Drosophila melanogaster: one gene and its partner. Each later gene encodes a partner of the first gene's protein in a complex. Each region holds a gene or a part of one and is shown in the gene's direction. Other genes may lie near its edges.

Region 1 (3,755 bases):
TTTTCTCCGTGTGTCCTTATCTACGCGCGTCCTTCGCATCGCAATTAGAAATGATTAGAACAACGCCGCAATCAATTAAGGAAAATGGTACCTACTCAATTTATTTGCCCGGCGATCGACAACTGCTGATAAACAAGCCATTAGATGCACTTGAGATCGCAACAGGACACCGCTTCAAAGAGTAGCTGCTGCATCTGCGCTGCAATTCGAGTGCAGCTGATCGATCCTGCACCTATGCACCTTTTTCAGGGCGTACGCGTGCCCGTGGGCGTGGTCCTGCAACTACTGATAAAATTTCCAAGTAAAAACTGGCGTAACTCGATCAGCGGCATGATCCCGCCTCACGCGATGGTTAAAAGGATTCCAGCACGCACTTGACAGCTCTGCACACATGGCTGACCTACAGTACAGATAAATATATATATGTATGTATTACCATATGCTATACCATTCCGATTCGAATCCCCAAAAAGGATCTCCAGAGGTATCCCGATATCGCTTGGCATGCGTGCCAGCCGCAAAACATTGAAATGCTTTTTAGTGCGCGGCAGGAAAAGGATTTCCTGTAATTACTCGACGATCAATGCTGGCTGAATAATTAGGAACGTTCCACGAAATTAATGAGTTAGTTACTTACAGAATTAATGAATGCACAAGTGCATGATAAATCTTCGAAAATTGTTAATGAATATGGTGATAAATTAAGTGTCAAGGTCTAGTCATAGAAAACGTGGAATAATATAGGAAAAGTACAAAATATAAAGGTTATGGATATTTGTATATTCTTTTATGACATATTAATTTCAACATTTTATTTCAAAACATGTTTTTAATAACTACTCCTTAAAATACTTTTTTTTCAACTGCGCACAGAAGTGTCAAAGACACTCGATGACAGCTTCCAGAAAAGATATTTAGAACATTCGAATGCAGGGATTAACCCGACGGATTGCCTTTCTCTGGCTGTATGTGAATCTTTCGTTTCCTTAATACCCCTATAAATAAGAATACAAATACCATAAAGTCTGTTTTCAAATCCCTTAATCCTTGAACAAAAAAGTTCATACAGCTAAAGTTAACCCACATTTCTATAGGCCAAGGAACTATTCGTATTTCCTTCATTCTGGAAGCCAAAGAACCTCTTTTCATTGACCTTAGCTGTTGGCTCAATAAGCAGGAAAGATTGTTCGAAATGCGGGTCTGCATATACACTGAAACAAAAAACTAAAAATTTTCAATATATTCACCGATATTAAGTCAGTAATAAACTATATAATTCTATACTTTGATATGATTTATTTATATAAATTAGGTAAATATTTATATATAGACATATATCAAAAACTAAATTCTTAAACATTTGTTAATAAGAACAAAAATTAAAGTTAACGCAATAAGTAAAAATATTTTTTTTTTTTAATTTTTCCAACTTTTAATTGTCCTTTTAATACTAATTTCTTTCTGTACGCGATCTACAAATATGTCCACAGCTGTTGTCGAGAGAAACTGCAGAGCTGAGAAGCCGGGCCGAAATTCGAACTCGAATTCGAAGAGAGCGCAGTCAACAAAAACCGCTGCACGAGCACGATCGCAATCAGTTGAGAACGTGGAGCGCGCGCGAGCAGAACGCAGACACAGATACATTTCTGAGCTTCATATAGATTTGCAGTGCGCATTACTCACTCATCCGCCAGATACAAAGATACGTTTCGCAGTACGCCTGACGATTGCAACTGGCAAACTGGATTTACCACCCCAAAAAAAAAAAATAAAATAAAAGAAATAACAAAAAATAGAAAACCAAAACAATAGCCACAACTACAAATCGTGTTAAGTGAAAAACGAAGCCAATTGCAGTAGCAACGAAAAACTTTCAAAACCCGAGCCATAGCGAAATAGGAAAAGTAGTTCAGAGCGTGAAAAATACGTTATATGCTGCAAAAGTTGTGAAACGAAACGTATCCGAGAGATACAATCCCATTGGGAGAGCGAGAGCCAAGCAAAGTGCAGTTTCCAGAAGCAGATACCATTTAAACATATTTATAACCCAACCGAAACCAAACAAATAATAAAGGCTGAAAAATTCGAATACACCCAAAAAAACAAATTTTCCAACAACTCAACCTCGACGACGACGATTCGCAACACAAACTATTGTTGGATTAACATTTTTTTCGATCAAGGTAAGTCGGTTTACATATGCTGTTTTCATTTTTTTTTTTTATGGCCATCATTAACACTCAAAAGCATTCCGAAGGTTTAAGTTGACTCTTGGCTTTTATAGTTGGTATGTAGCTGTCTTGCAGCCCAAAAACCGACAAAAGTTGTCTGTCAGTTTTGATGTGACTCTGGCTAATTGACCTCCAAGCTGGTGTTTTCATAATTAAGCTAAAATGAAGCCGAGCGGTAGTAACAAATTGAAAGTTCACGTAGATACATATTTCAAGATATCTTGAGGTTCGACTGGTTCGGCATTTGCCAAGGGAAATAAGCTACATAACGGCTAAGATACATCTTTTGGGCCAAAAAGAGGAAGACCACCTTGTGCTGCTCGACTGATCCCTTAATAACATACAATTTCGTTCTGTGCACTAACAAAGCGACACTTAAAATGCCAAGACGGCAGCTGCAAACAGAATTGTTGTGGCCAAGTCGATAAAGATGCATTCGGCTGGATGGTTTCGTGGTTTCTCCCAGTTATTGGACCCGTTTCTCTGTTCATTCTGTTCTTCTTGCTCACACTGAATGCGCGCGCATGCGCAAAGGATATGGAGTTGTATGGGCGTCGAGGGTTGCAGCAGGAGTGGCATACCGTTTGCCCCGCGTGTTCTGGGTAATCTTTGCAGCTGCAGGACTGAACAATCTGCACCTGGCCTCGCCCGCTTAATTAATTTCCCAGCTGACTCAGCTCGCCGTCGTTCTTTCTCGTGGGGAGGTGGAAATGACAAACCTCTGACTATGCCACTCACTTTGATAAGCACTTACTGGGCCATCGGGCAGGGGACCCACTTCCTGCTGACCCAAGGGCGGCGAGGAGCTGGGGATCAGCTGCAATGGCTCACTTCGCGATGACACGTGCGAGGCGTGAACAGTGAACGCGGAACATACATGAATCCCCTACTTTCTTAGTTCCTATCACATTCATTTTAATTTACTTGCGCTACTGCACATTTGACAAGACTCAAAGCGATTCGAAATGCATTTGGCGCCATTTGGCCGCACGGTACTTATATTTTTAAACGCATCAGCGACAACAAGACCGAAAGTCGTCACACATCCGTCCATCACACATTGGGGGCCACAGTGCCGCACACTGAGCGAAAAGGTTGTGTGCGAAAAAAATATCTCTCAAGAAATAATATAAAAATAATATTAAAGATTAAAAGCACTGGGACTTTATTCCAACTCTACTGGTCGAATAATAGCCAATTTTGTTGTTGCATTGTGACTATTTCTCTCAGTGTGCAGCGAAATGATGAATGGGGCTGTTGGGGGCAGACAGAGACGGCGCGACAGCGTCACAGTGCCACTGAATGAGACGGCAATAGCAGACGTCAGGCAGACGATGCAGTTGCGCTGCCTTCGCCTCGATGGCGTTACATGATTTGTAGTATCAGCAAACATACGTCACAACAACAAAAACAACAACAACAACAACGACAAGATGTGGCAGCATGTGCACAAATGCAATCCGGTTCGCTTGCCCGCCAAGCTAGACGAGCAAAAAATGTTTATTTTTAACAATATTCCACAGA
Region 2 (3,755 bases), on another chromosome or scaffold:
TGGCGGACCTCTGCTACTATATGTACACATACATATGTATGTGACCATGTGTGCCGTGCTTACATATGTGCGGCCATATCTGTGTTTTGGTGTCTGATTCTAGAGCACAAGTGGATGCCACTTGGCTGCCGCTGCCTCCGCCTCTGGACATTGGCATTCTATTTTAATGAATTATCTGCACTTAGGCATCGAACTAAGAACTAACAACTAAGAACTAAGAGCTGCGACTATAGCGATCACCCGACAAGTCGGATGGATCTGAATGGAGTGGGAGGTGGCGCAGCAGAGGCGTACTGGTTGCATTGCAATGGCGAAATACAGATGTACAAACGCTGATTGGCTCAATTGGACGACTATTTGAACTCTGACCCCTGTGCGATCCTCATCGGCAGCTCTGCCCCTTCCGCCCCGTCCTCCTCCTCCGCCAGCCACCCTTTCACCCTGGAATTTCCCGATGGGCGACGCACCATGACCGAAGCTACTAATTTGGGCCAGTGATCGTCGCTGCGGCGATCACTTGGAAACGTCGTCATCGCCATCGCAGCTATCGACGGAAAAGATAGCACTTGAAAAAAATATCTCTATTATATTTCTTAATTAGAGTCACAATCTAAAAGTTCTTTAATGTTTCATATCACGAGGCTTACTCGCTAAACTATTTATAGCCATAAAAATACATGTTACTATTTATTACTTACCTAAATGCCCATTAATCTAGATTTTCTTTCAGTGCATACCCACGGAACTGAGCAGGGGCGTGCAGGGCGTGGGCGGGGTCGTCCGGCTGGTCGCCGTTTATGGGCATTTGACTTGAAATGTCAACGTAAACGTTGCTCGTTGCTCGGGGAGAAACTGGTTAGCCAACTGAGGCGACTGGAGACCCCAAAGCGGATGCAGTGCAACTGAGCGCATCTTCAGGCCCACCGACCGACCGACCAACCGACCGTCCAAGCAACCTGACGAGGAACCCCAGCCCCGCCCCCTTTCCAAAGAGATTTTCCGTCGCAGCCGAGCGGAAATGTTCCAACAATTTATAATTAAAGATTGCCAACTGGTTTCCATGAAGATCCAAGATTTATGGGATCGAAAACACCTATCAGCTAGCACCTCCAAACATTTTGTATTACAATAGAGCGCTTTTCCCAGGCGCGTGGCGCTTATTTCATTTTCGGCCAGGGGGTCGTATTCATAATTATTTCAAATGCTTGAGAGCATTATCGCACACTGATTAGAGTTCACGGAATTGTCTTATCTATGGTTTATGTGCAAAAAGCTCGCCAATAGTCACAATTGACAGCTAATGGGTATGGCATGCTCGATCATTTCAAGTTTCCAGTCACAATAGGTGTGTATGTTATCTAGTGAGAGAACGATCCCTTGGTATTTCGGCGCCCATGCTTCTGGTATCAGCATGAATCGTTTGTTTAAACTTTATCTTCTATTGATTAACAACTAAATCGAGCGCCCCACGCGAATTCGACGCCGCCCACAGACAGCGGTTGCCTATTGAGTTGTTTCGTAGTAAACTTTGGTGGGTTTTAAATTATTTAAATTATTACCTCTGCGAGCTGTTGCTTCTTTCGTTGCCAAGGAAGTGGATGGTGGATCTGTAAATGTTTACGCGCCTAATGATTTGTTTGTGGTCTTTGCACACACTCCTACTTCTCAGAGTATAATAACATAATCGAGATTATTATGGCAATTGTGGGGAATCTGGGAATTTTAAAAAATTACGAACATAAAATACGTATGTTAATTGAGATTATTGTGAAATTATTCCGGAATTGGAATTGGAATTTTGTGGCGCATGCAAGTCTCTCAAGCTCTGATATAAGATTGTTTATAAATATTGAAATATAATGAGCAGCTCAGGGGTGTCTTTCAATCGTTAAAACTTTAACTCATATAAGACTGGCGCATCAAAGCTTCACTGTACCTCAAAATATAGGTCCGATTTAAGATATAAATCTTGGACGCTAAAACGGATACGGATCAAAGCGCGACTTCCTTAAAAAATTATCTTATTTTCGTATTCTTCACCAGTTCTTTTTGAATTGTTTTTGCTGTATGTCGCTCTCTTTGCTTCTCTTTCTCTTTCGATTCTCTCTCCGCATGCGCCGACTTGTTCATGTTCGCCGCCTGTTCGAATCGAATCGGCAGTCAAAAAGAAACTGCCGTGCTGGGCGGACGTGTAGAAGAGTCGCTCCTGAAAGCAACTAGACATTCTGCTGTAAATGGCAAACTAATATGTTTTAAATTGATTAATTCACAATTAATAGAATTTAATTCGTGCGCGGCGTTGAGGAAATAAACGGTTCTTCTTAACTCGGTGTGTGTTTACATTGCCCGGTGTGTGTGTGCGCGAAACGGAAATAAAAAATAAACAAGAGCGACAGCAACAACGCCAACAACAACAGCAACATCAGCGAGAGCAAAGCAACGCAACAAGAAGTGCAAGCAAAAGTGAAAAGGAAGACGAAAGAGGAAATGCCAAAGTACAACAACAAATACACGAACAAAACGCCAGAGTGCAAGTGCATCGCGTGAGTGTCTTACAGTGTGCGTGTGCGTTTGTGTGCCCGCGTCTGCCTGTGTGTGCGTGCTGCTGAGGCGGCGGCGGAAGTAAAAACGCTTGACTTCGCCTTCTTCTTATTCATTTGCTCCGCTTTACGGCTGGCATTTGTCGCAGAACGAAGCGAAAACAAAAACAAAAACAGAGAGCCTGGATTAGCCCCAAAAGCACACAACCACCGCCCACGCGGCGCCCCTCACCAAAAGGAAACAGCAACACAAACAACAATGGCAACTTGGCGCGACGCCCTCTTCGTCATCAGCAGATAACAACAAGAACAACATCGAATTAACAGAAACAAAACCAAAAACAAAAATAAAACAAGAAAGCGAAGCAAAAGCTAAAGCATTCTGGGATCTGGACATATCCGCTTCCGCGTTGCTTCTGTCGCTAAAAAGCTCAAGAATCGAATCCGAAGCCCAACGCAAACAGACAAATTCACTCACTCACCTTACAGTACGTAACCACAGTGCACAGTGGAGCAAACAGGTGAGAATTTTGATAATTTGTATACTTTTTGTTGTGAACTGTTAAATTAACCATTGTCAAAATAGTAGCAGAAAAGAGTGTCAAAAATAAAAACATTTTTTCTCAATATGTAAGCACAATGGTTTTTATATCTGGAGTTCTTTTATATTCGTAATCGTGCAAGAATCGGTGTTTACAGACATTACCCCTGTATCACTCCATTGCCGTCGTTGCTTTTTTTTACGAATTGGTTAAAACACCATCTTTTGGTACATGTATTTCCCATAACTACGTCACAATGGTCATGGAAACAGAAAAGTGTCTTGTCTGAGCAGCTGATAAATAATTGCTCCACCTTAATCTGGCTTTGGTTATCTGCTGCATATGACTTCCCCACTTCGCTCCACCCGACGTCTTACAATGTCTGAGTTTTGGTCTCTGGTTGAGGTCAACAATTTGTCGGATCTACACGTGTAAACAGATAACTTGGGCTATATTTGGTTCGCAGTACACTCATATGAGATGGATGAAGACTCGGCAACAACGGTTTATCTAAGGTTTAGTTGATTTATTTGCCTGTTCAGAGGATCTGATTGTGGCGTTTTCATTTGGGGCTTGTTTAAATAATAAGAGTTACAATTTTATGGGGATCTTGGGAGTGGTTTTATAGTTTAATTATTGTTTTGTTATCTGATTGTTGCGCATAATTTGTTGT

Evidence for each region. The genes of interacting proteins can lie anywhere in the genome.
Region 2: the proteins of edl (region 1) and aop are in contact, whole or in part, in a crystal structure (PDB 1SV0), measured with the Drosophila melanogaster proteins. Residues at the interface, in NP_523786.2 of Drosophila melanogaster: Thr108, Arg109, Lys134, Pro136, Met137, Asn138, Lys140, Ala141, Leu144, Met145, Met149, Arg153; in NP_001259908.1 of Drosophila melanogaster: Glu69, Phe70, Asp71, Leu72, Pro73, Pro100, Gly101, Ala102, Asp104, Val105, Asn108, Val109.

Annotation. Positions count from the first base shown.
Region 1 is NT_033778.4:18,671,374-18,675,128, reverse strand, and holds the start of edl (ETS-domain lacking), read left to right. Parts: upstream 1-1,592; 5' UTR 1,593-2,183; intron 2,184-3,755.
Region 2 is NT_033779.5:2,177,153-2,180,907, reverse strand, and holds the start of aop (anterior open), read left to right. Parts: upstream 1-2,153; 5' UTR 2,154-3,061; intron 3,062-3,755. UniProt on the Drosophila melanogaster protein: Ets-related protein that functions as a negative regulator of photoreceptor development acting antagonistically to pnt and the proneural signal mediated by RAS. It acts upstream of SINA to inhibit R7 development.